Linked DNA regions of Saccharomyces cerevisiae S288C. Changing the gene in region 1 together with any one later gene gives a genetic interaction. Each region holds a gene or a part of one and is shown in the gene's direction. Other genes may lie near its edges.

Region 1 (3,759 bases):
TACCTCTTCCATAATACGTCTCTGTAATTCCTCCAGCCGCATATAAGTTTTGTGTGGGTTATTCAAATGGCTTGACCATAGCTTGAATCCAGATTTTTTGACAGCATTTTCCTCCTTGGGTCTAAGAATCCTTTCCAAAATTTTTCTCTGGAGACTCTTTTCACGACGTTTAACTTCCAGTAGGCTTCTATTACTGTGGAACGCTCTCTTCCACATGTAACATTTATATACATTCATTATCTGCCTCCTTAAACTTTCAGGGTCCATCAAGTACCTCTTTATTAAAAGCATTTTTCATTCGCTCATCCTTAAACTGGAAAGGCATAAGGAAACTGTCAGAATATATAAATAGAGGTGTAAAACATGTGAAGCTCTGTGGAGTTCTAAGCTGGAATCGAAACAGTTGTCTCAATTTTAGTAATGTCCAAGGGCTTTCCAGGAGGTCAGTATATTCAAAGCCAAAATAATTAATGTTTTGGTCTGAATTTTTATTTTTCAAAAATGAGGTGAAAACCTCCAACGAAACTTTTTAATTAAAACCATCCGATACAGAATTTTAAATCATCTAAAGCATTTATTCGGCATTTTATCCTTGAATAACGTACTATGCAACTCATATAAATACTACAATATACTTTCTCTTTAGGAAATTCGTAGCTATCAACAAAGGTAGTGTCATTGTATATATACTTCCGCCTTCCTAAAAAAAACTTCATTATGCCTCCAAAGAAGATATCTTTGTCTCCTAACATGAAAAGAACAAACAATGTCATGGAATCTACTATTTGTGCTGCTAATAGGATTCGTAGTTTTGATATTACTTTCGCCCGTCTTCAAGTCAACATGGCCATTTTCGACTTTCTATCGTAATGTGTTTCAGCCCTTCCTAGTGGATGACCAAAAATATCGTTGGAAGTTGCATTTAGTACCTCTTTTCTACACCTCTATTTACCTGTACCTAGTATATACATACCACATGAGAGTGGAGTCTACGATTAAGAATGAGCTATTCCTTTTAGAACGAATACTGATCGTGCCTATAATTATACTACCGCCGGTAGCATTAGGAATTCTAGCCATGGTAAGCAGAGCTGAGGATTCAAAGGATCATAAATCAGGCTCGACAGAGGAATATCCATATGATTACCTATTGTATTATCCTGCCATAAAGTGTTCGACATGCCGGATCGTCAAGCCTGCTAGATCCAAACATTGTAGCATTTGCAACCGATGCGTTCTCGTCGCCGACCATCATTGCATCTGGATAAATAACTGCATCGGAAAGGGAAACTACCTTCAATTCTACCTTTTCCTAATTTCCAACATATTCTCGATGTGCTACGCCTTTCTAAGGCTGTGGTACATTTCTTTAAATAGCACAAGTACGCTCCCTAGAGCTGTTCTGACTCTTACCATATTATGTGGATGCTTCACTATCATCTGCGCTATTTTCACGTATCTTCAATTGGCCATTGTAAAGGAGGGAATGACTACAAATGAGCAAGATAAATGGTATACCATTCAAGAGTATATGAGAGAAGGAAAACTGGTGAGATCATTGGATGATGATTGCCCATCTTGGTTTTTCAAATGCACAGAACAAAAAGATGACGCTGCTGAACCACTCCAAGATCAACATGTTACGTTTTATAGCACGAATGCCTACGACCATAAGCACTACAACCTTACACACTACATCACGATTAAAGACGCGTCCGAAATTCCCAATATATATGACAAAGGTACCTTCCTGGCCAATCTCACAGATTTAATATAGTAAATTGTCATGCATATGACTCATCCCGAACATGAAATTTTTTTTCACTCGGTTTTTTCTCACCGCCATAGATTCTAACCGCAAATGTCGAACAAATTCATTATACAAGCGGTTTATTAATATAGAAGGTAGGACGCCGACTCGTAACCATTAGTAACAGATCACAGCTATACTCGGTCGTTCAAGTTTATATAATCTCCTAGTTGAGAAATCCCTACGTAAGATAATTGTATATTACGATGGTGCAGTTAGCCAAAGTCCCAATTCTAGGAAATGATATTATCCACGTTGGGTATAACATTCATGACCATTTGGTTGAAACCATAATTAAACATTGTCCTTCTTCGACATACGTTATTTGCAATGATACGAACTTGAGTAAAGTTCCATACTACCAGCAATTAGTCCTGGAATTCAAGGCTTCTTTGCCAGAAGGCTCTCGTTTACTTACTTATGTTGTTAAACCAGGTGAGACAAGTAAAAGTAGAGAAACCAAAGCGCAGCTAGAAGATTATCTTTTAGTGGAAGGATGTACTCGTGATACGGTTATGGTAGCGATCGGTGGTGGTGTTATTGGTGACATGATTGGGTTCGTTGCATCTACATTTATGAGAGGTGTTCGTGTTGTCCAAGTACCAACATCCTTATTGGCAATGGTCGATTCCTCCATTGGTGGTAAAACTGCTATTGACACTCCTCTAGGTAAAAACTTTATTGGTGCATTTTGGCAACCAAAATTTGTCCTTGTAGATATTAAATGGCTAGAAACGTTAGCCAAGAGAGAGTTTATCAATGGGATGGCAGAAGTTATCAAGACTGCTTGTATTTGGAACGCTGACGAATTTACTAGATTAGAATCAAACGCTTCGTTGTTCTTAAATGTTGTTAATGGGGCAAAAAATGTCAAGGTTACCAATCAATTGACAAACGAGATTGACGAGATATCGAATACAGATATTGAAGCTATGTTGGATCATACATATAAGTTAGTTCTTGAGAGTATTAAGGTCAAAGCGGAAGTTGTCTCTTCGGATGAACGTGAATCCAGTCTAAGAAACCTTTTGAACTTCGGACATTCTATTGGTCATGCTTATGAAGCTATACTAACCCCACAAGCATTACATGGTGAATGTGTGTCCATTGGTATGGTTAAAGAGGCGGAATTATCCCGTTATTTCGGTATTCTCTCCCCTACCCAAGTTGCACGTCTATCCAAGATTTTGGTTGCCTACGGGTTGCCTGTTTCGCCTGATGAGAAATGGTTTAAAGAGCTAACCTTACATAAGAAAACACCATTGGATATCTTATTGAAGAAAATGAGTATTGACAAGAAAAACGAGGGTTCCAAAAAGAAGGTGGTCATTTTAGAAAGTATTGGTAAGTGCTATGGTGACTCCGCTCAATTTGTTAGCGATGAAGACCTGAGATTTATTCTAACAGATGAAACCCTCGTTTACCCCTTCAAGGACATCCCTGCTGATCAACAGAAAGTTGTTATCCCCCCTGGTTCTAAGTCCATCTCCAATCGTGCTTTAATTCTTGCTGCCCTCGGTGAAGGTCAATGTAAAATCAAGAACTTATTACATTCTGATGATACTAAACATATGTTAACCGCTGTTCATGAATTGAAAGGTGCTACGATATCATGGGAAGATAATGGTGAGACGGTAGTGGTGGAAGGACATGGTGGTTCCACATTGTCAGCTTGTGCTGACCCCTTATATCTAGGTAATGCAGGTACTGCATCTAGATTTTTGACTTCCTTGGCTGCCTTGGTCAATTCTACTTCAAGCCAAAAGTATATCGTTTTAACTGGTAACGCAAGAATGCAACAAAGACCAATTGCTCCTTTGGTCGATTCTTTGCGTGCTAATGGTACTAAAATTGAGTACTTGAATAATGAAGGTTCCCTGCCAATCAAAGTTTATACTGATTCGGTATTCAAAGGTGGTAGAATTGAATTAGCTGCTACAGTTTCTTCT
Region 2 (3,759 bases), 710 kb from region 1:
AAAGGCCTCGGACTAATTAACTGACCCTTCGCCAAGAGTGCGAGCCTTAGTATCTAGACGTCTCGCAGGACCGTAACCTTCGAGGAGACCTAGAAGAAGCCACTCGGGCACGAACTCGCCAGGAACACGGTAGTACTTGAGCCTAGGGACGACGAAAATGAGCGTCTCGAGGGCGTGAGTCAGGAACTCGGCAACAATGATGAGTCGCAGCACAAGATCACTATCCAGCCACGCCTCTAAGGTGGAGCCCACAGGATTAGGGACCAGGAAAAAGATAGCGTGCAGTGCAGGACGATAGAGGTAGCACAATGGCGGTAGCGCCACGCCTACCAGGATCAACAAGTCTACTAGAGTGCAGGGGTACTCAACAGTGTCGATCTGGATGAGCGACAGCTTCCTCTTCTCCGCAGCGATGCGGAACATCTTGTTGAAGATTTGCTTGATTCCGGTAGCAGTGCGGGTATCGTTGCCCGTGTCATTGTCAATGAAGTAGATAATCTTCTCGATGTTCTGACCCGTTTCTGTGTGAAGGAACTTGAGCGTAAACGTGGACGTCTGCGTGTCGATCTCTGTCAGTCTGACATGCTTGACGGCCTTGGTAATGGGAACGTGGCCAAAAACGGCGAGACAATCCTCCAGCCCCAACTTGTGCGTATCGTTGATGCTTACAATTAACGAATCCCACATACTTGTGTATACCCGTATACTTGCTTGAGTTGATAGAACGCACGCTCTCGCCGATATAAGCCTCCACTCTTTATATATACCATATCCAAATAGGTGTGCACTTTGTGGCAAGGAGTAATTATAAACGAACAGAATATCCCGACCACATGGCAAGACCAAGAAAGTTCAAGACTGCGCAAGAAACGGCAGAACAGAAGCTGCTCACTAACTTCAACCTTGTAACTGAATTCGTAGGGTTAAAACTCCACCACGTTTGTAGCGGAGCAATGTCGCCTTTAAGAAGTCGCTAGCTATCTCTTTCGCCTCCGTATAGCAATCATTGTCTAATGCAATCCGCCATCGTTATGTCCGCGGCTTTTGTCTGGAGGGCAAATCACGATAGGAAGAGGCATCTTCTGTAGTAAAGGCGTCTGTAGTAAAACCTTTTCTTGGAAGCCATAACAAATCATGGCCACCAATGCCTGGCAAAAAAGGGTGGCATTGAAGGGAAATTTCAAAGATTTTTTTAATAGAGGCCCTAGGAAAAAACATGTCCGTACGTTTAGATACGGTTATAAACTGTACAATCATTTGCTATCAAATGCTGAACCTTCCCCAAGGGACTAAAAGCTGGAAATGGCAGTGTGCTACTATTTCTTTTAGTCGTATATTTAACTCTCGATCTTGCAGGCTATGATGTCCCATATGATGTCCCACATGACGCAAGTAACTTCAAAAAAAGAGGAATTGCGTGGCGGCGTGGATGCAAAAGGATGGGCGTGATGATGGGACTCGAGACCTGGTTTTACTCAATGTTAGTCATATGTATATAGTCCTTATAGGCCCATATTAGAAAGTACATGTCATAGTTACCCTCTGCAGTTTTTCTCGTAGCGGAAGGGGATGGAAATTTTTAACGTAAAAGAAAGTTGGTAAGAGTATGGCACATCAACAGGTAGCGTTATAGGGGCCAAGACATAGCTTTGGGCTTAGTACTGTAGGCTTGTTACCAGAACTTTCATTTATCGAAATATTCTTTTTTCACATTTCCTCTTACTGCGCATTCGTGTCCAAACAGTCATTCAGGAAGTATAACGATAAACAATAGATTGAAGCCTGAAAAAAAAAAAAAAAGCACGACAATAGAAATTGTTTCAGTGTCATTGGCTTTTGATAATATATAGAGGCTGTTTCAATAATCATAGCGAAAGAAATAGAAGTTTTTTTTTGTAACAAGTTTTGCTACACTCCCTTAATAAAGTCAACATGAGCAGTAACAACAACACAAACACAGCACCTGCCAATGCAAATTCTAGCCACCACCACCACCATCACCACCATCACCACCACCATCACGGTCATGGCGGAAGCAACTCGACGCTAAACAATCCCAAGTCGTCCTTAGCGGATGGTGCACATATCGGGAACTACCAAATCGTCAAAACGCTGGGAGAGGGGTCCTTTGGTAAAGTTAAATTGGCATATCATACCACTACGGGCCAAAAAGTTGCTCTAAAAATCATTAATAAGAAGGTTTTGGCAAAGAGTGATATGCAGGGCAGAATTGAAAGAGAAATATCTTATCTGAGACTCTTAAGACACCCCCACATCATCAAACTGTATGATGTTATCAAATCCAAAGATGAAATCATTATGGTTATAGAGTACGCCGGGAACGAATTGTTTGACTATATTGTTCAGAGAGACAAAATGAGCGAGCAAGAGGCAAGAAGATTTTTCCAGCAGATCATCAGTGCCGTCGAGTACTGCCATAGGCACAAAATTGTCCATAGAGATCTGAAGCCTGAAAACTTACTACTAGATGAGCATCTGAATGTAAAGATTGCCGATTTTGGTTTGTCAAACATCATGACTGATGGTAATTTCTTAAAGACTTCTTGTGGTTCTCCCAATTATGCGGCTCCTGAAGTTATCAGCGGTAAGCTGTACGCAGGCCCAGAAGTGGACGTGTGGTCATGTGGGGTTATCCTTTATGTTATGCTTTGTCGTCGTCTACCGTTTGACGATGAAAGCATCCCAGTGCTTTTCAAGAATATCAGCAACGGTGTTTACACCTTGCCTAAATTTTTATCTCCTGGAGCTGCTGGGCTAATCAAAAGAATGTTAATCGTTAATCCATTGAACAGAATAAGCATTCATGAAATTATGCAAGACGATTGGTTCAAAGTTGACCTGCCAGAATATCTACTTCCACCAGATTTGAAACCACACCCAGAAGAAGAGAATGAAAATAATGACTCAAAAAAGGATGGCAGCAGCCCAGATAACGATGAAATTGATGACAACCTTGTCAATATTTTATCATCGACCATGGGTTACGAAAAAGACGAGATTTATGAGTCCTTAGAATCATCAGAAGACACTCCTGCATTCAACGAAATTAGGGACGCGTACATGTTGATTAAGGAGAATAAATCTTTGATCAAGGATATGAAGGCAAACAAAAGCGTCAGTGATGAACTGGATACCTTTCTGTCCCAGTCACCTCCAACTTTTCAACAACAAAGCAAATCCCATCAAAAGAGTCAAGTAGATCATGAAACTGCCAAGCAACACGCAAGAAGGATGGCAAGTGCTATCACTCAACAAAGGACATATCACCAATCACCCTTCATGGATCAGTATAAAGAAGAAGACTCTACAGTTTCCATTTTGCCTACATCTTTACCTCAGATCCACAGAGCTAATATGTTAGCACAAGGTTCGCCAGCTGCCTCTAAAATATCTCCTCTTGTAACGAAAAAATCTAAAACGAGATGGCATTTTGGTATACGATCTCGCTCATATCCATTAGACGTTATGGGTGAAATTTATATTGCCTTGAAGAATTTGGGTGCCGAATGGGCCAAGCCATCTGAAGAGGATTTATGGACTATCAAATTAAGGTGGAAATATGATATTGGAAACAAGACAAACACTAATGAAAAAATACCTGATTTAATGAAAATGGTAATTCAATTATTTCAAATTGAAACCAATAATTATTTGGTGGATTTCAAATTTGACGGCTGGGAAAGTAGTTATGGAGATGATACTACTGTTTCTAATATTTCTGAAGATGAAATGAGTACT
Region 3 (3,585 bases), on another chromosome or scaffold:
GATACCAAGATCTACCAGCCGGGTGAAACAATCATTCGCGAGGGTGATCAAGGGGAGAACTTTTATTTAATTGAGTACGGAGCTGTGGACGTCTCTAAGAAGGGCCAAGGTGTCATAAATAAACTGAAAGACCATGATTATTTCGGTGAAGTGGCCTTGCTAAACGATTTGCCCAGACAGGCCACTGTGACTGCTACAAAGAGAACCAAAGTTGCCACATTGGGGAAAAGTGGTTTTCAACGTTTACTGGGTCCTGCAGTAGACGTATTAAAGCTCAATGATCCTACAAGACATTAAGTAAAAAGGGGAAGCGATCTTAAATCCACATGAATTTCCTTTCTCTTTTTCTTCTTCTTCTGTTCCCTTTTTCTTTCTTCTTCCTTCAACGTCTACGTAAATATAATGTATAACATCTCCACTTTCCTTTCCCTTATAGCGTTATGTTACCTGTTTAAACTCTAAATTCTTCATCTACTACTGCTGTTACTACATGTATATATGTTCATTTTTTTTTTTTTTTTTCACCACGGAAAACGTAAAAATGAGAGCATTTGTAACAAATAAAGGAGAACTGTTCAATCAAGTGACATACAAAAACTCTCTCCAACTCTACAATCACCACCGTAATGTCTGATGCTCAATTCGATGCTGCTTTAGATCTTCTTAGGAGGCTAAATCCTACCACGTTACAGGAGAATCTAAACAACTTGATCGAATTACAACCAAATTTGGCACAAGATTTACTATCTTCAGTAGACGTTCCCCTATCCACACAGAAAGATTCCGCCGATTCAAACCGGGAGTACTTATGCTGCGACTATAATCGTGATATTGATTCGTTCAGATCGCCTTGGTCGAACACTTATTACCCAGAACTATCCCCAAAGGATCTACAAGACAGCCCCTTTCCCTCAGCCCCTTTAAGAAAATTGGAGATCTTAGCCAATGACTCTTTCGACGTTTACAGAGATCTCTATTATGAAGGCGGTATCTCCAGCGTGTACCTCTGGGACCTCAATGAAGAAGATTTCAATGGGCACGATTTTGCAGGGGTAGTGCTTTTCAAAAAAAACCAATCAGATCACAGTAATTGGGACAGTATCCATGTTTTTGAAGTTACAACATCTCCTTCTTCTCCCGACAGTTTCAACTATAGAGTCACCACTACAATCATTCTGCACTTGGACAAAACAAAAACTGACCAGAATTCTCATATGATGTTATCCGGGAACCTGACAAGACAGACCGAAAAGGACATCGCTATTGATATGTCCCGTCCATTAGATGTTATTTTCACATCACATGTCGCTAATTTGGGTTCCTTAATTGAGGACATTGAGTCTCAGATGAGAAATCTATTGGAAACTGTTTATTTCGAAAAGACAAGAGATATCTTCCACCAAACAAAGAACGCAGCCATTGCTTCCTCTGCTGAGGAAGCGAATAAAGACGCACAGGCAGAGGTAATCAGAGGTTTACAGTCTTTATAGAAATATTTACATGTATCGCTGGTATATCATATAAATACATACAGCAGCACTAAGTGGTAGAAAAGCGCTATCAAAAATCACTCGGAACGAACACTGAAGAAAAAGCGAAAAATCAAAAATATGACCAACGCTTGGAAAATTTCAGTAGCAATTAGACGAACCTCGCAGTCCTGTAGTAAAACGGATTAAGGGACTTCATATACTGTTGATACTCGGTGTATTGCAATTACCTACTAGGAGTTTTCTGAATAGGGACTTAAGAAGTCAAATATACAGACAAAAATAGGGGGTTGTAGAAGGAATATTTGATTCGAACTATGAAATGCAGGGTATGGTCAGAGGCTCGTGTTTATACGAATATCAATAAACAAAGAACCGAGGAATATTGGGATTATGAAAATACTGTAATTGATTGGTCCACAAATACAAAGGACTATGAAATTGAAAATAAAGTTGGGCGAGGAAAATACTCCGAGGTTTTCCAAGGTGTCAAATTAGACTCTAAAGTTAAAATTGTTATTAAGATGTTGAAACCAGTTAAAAAGAAGAAGATCAAGAGAGAAATCAAAATCTTAACGGATTTGTCTAACGAAAAAGTGCCTCCAACGACTTTGCCATTTCAAAAAGATCAATATTACACAAATCAAAAGGAGGACGTTTTAAAATTCATCAGGCCCTATATCTTTGATCAGCCACACAATGGTCATGCAAACATAATTCATCTATTTGATATAATAAAGGATCCCATCTCAAAAACTCCGGCTTTGGTCTTCGAATACGTAGATAATGTGGACTTCCGTATTCTTTACCCTAAATTAACCGATCTCGAAATTAGGTTTTATATGTTTGAGTTATTAAAGGCCTTAGACTATTGTCATTCAATGGGAATAATGCATAGAGATGTTAAACCTCATAACGTAATGATTGATCATAAGAATAAAAAATTGCGATTGATAGATTGGGGGCTTGCTGAATTTTATCATGTTAATATGGAATACAATGTTCGTGTTGCGTCGAGGTTTTTTAAGGGTCCTGAACTACTAGTTGACTACAGAATGTATGATTATTCTTTAGACTTGTGGTCGTTTGGGACAATGTTGGCTTCTATGATCTTTAAAAGAGAGCCATTTTTCCATGGAACGAGTAACACAGACCAGCTTGTCAAGATCGTCAAAGTACTTGGTACAAGCGATTTTGAGAAATACCTGTTGAAGTATGAAATTACCTTACCGAGAGAATTTTACGATATGGACCAATACATCAGAAAGCCTTGGCATAGATTCATCAATGATGGTAATAAACATTTAAGCGGCAACGATGAAATTATTGACCTTATTGACAATCTTTTGAGATATGATCATCAAGAAAGATTAACTGCTAAGGAAGCGATGGGACACCCGTGGTTTGCCCCAATAAGGGAACAAATTGAAAAATAAGAAATAAATAATGAATGAAATAAAAAAAAAAAAATCACTGACAAACGATATAACGATTACTTTTTTTTACCATCTGTACAATTGTACTTAATTCTAATAGATTTAAAAAACTAAATACAGGTTTAAAGGGCTTCCTCCATACAACAGAGGCAAGGAGGACTAAGGGGTTGACACGAGCAAATTTCATACATGCAAAATAATAATGTCTTAAAGGTAATTTATACCATAAATGTAGTAACTAAACGAAATAATAACGGCAGAAAAGAAAGGATGCAGCTCGAGTATTTATACACGTATATTACATATATAGTTGTCCTTATCATTCTTGAATGAAACACCGTTGTGCTCACCAAAACTTTGTTATTTTATCTTTTCAGAATTGGGTAATGATTGGTTGTCTGGATCCTTACCACCTTCTACGGGCTTGAGATCTATATCGTCATCGTCAGTATCGCTTCCGAAACGTTGAGAGTATGGCTCGTGCTTGATGGCTATGATCTTACCAGTATCTTTATCCACTTCTGTAACGTCTGAATCGATCATTAAAAGTTCTTCAATGATCTTTAATGAATCCACAGTCATGCTTTCATTTTTGTTGCTACTATTAGTGCCATTAACATTATTATCTGAGTCTTTATTTAGTTTTTCATGTTCACGTA

Evidence for each region.
Region 2: mutations in ARO1 (region 1) and SNF1 together harm fitness more than expected from each alone (negative genetic interaction), as found in Saccharomyces cerevisiae (4 studies listed by BioGRID).
Region 3: mutations in ARO1 (region 1) and CKA1 together harm fitness more than expected from each alone (negative genetic interaction), as found in Saccharomyces cerevisiae (4 studies listed by BioGRID).

The regions. Positions count from the first base shown.
Region 1 is NC_001136.10:702,468-706,226, forward strand, and holds the start of ARO1 (pentafunctional protein ARO1p), read left to right. Parts: upstream 1-2,016; coding exon 2,017-3,759. Other genes in the region: ECM18 (alpha/beta hydrolase family protein), read right to left, coding at 1-291; palmitoyltransferase SWF1, read left to right, coding at 767-1,777. UniProt on the Saccharomyces cerevisiae protein: The AROM polypeptide catalyzes 5 consecutive enzymatic reactions in prechorismate polyaromatic amino acid biosynthesis.
Region 2 is NC_001136.10:1,410,441-1,414,199, forward strand, and holds the start of SNF1 (AMP-activated serine/threonine-protein kinase catalytic subunit SNF1), read left to right. Parts: upstream 1-1,932; coding exon 1,933-3,759. Other genes in the region: YDR476C (uncharacterized protein), read right to left, coding at 13-687. UniProt on the Saccharomyces cerevisiae protein: Serine/threonine protein kinase essential for release from glucose repression.
Region 3 is NC_001141.2:287,131-290,715, reverse strand, and holds CKA1 (casein kinase 2 catalytic subunit CKA1), read left to right. Parts: upstream 1-1,807; coding exon 1,808-2,926; downstream 2,927-3,585. Other genes in the region: cAMP-dependent protein kinase regulatory subunit BCY1, read left to right, coding at 1-297; CAP2 (F-actin-capping protein subunit beta), read left to right, coding at 627-1,490; CST6 (Cst6p), read right to left, coding at 3,287-3,585.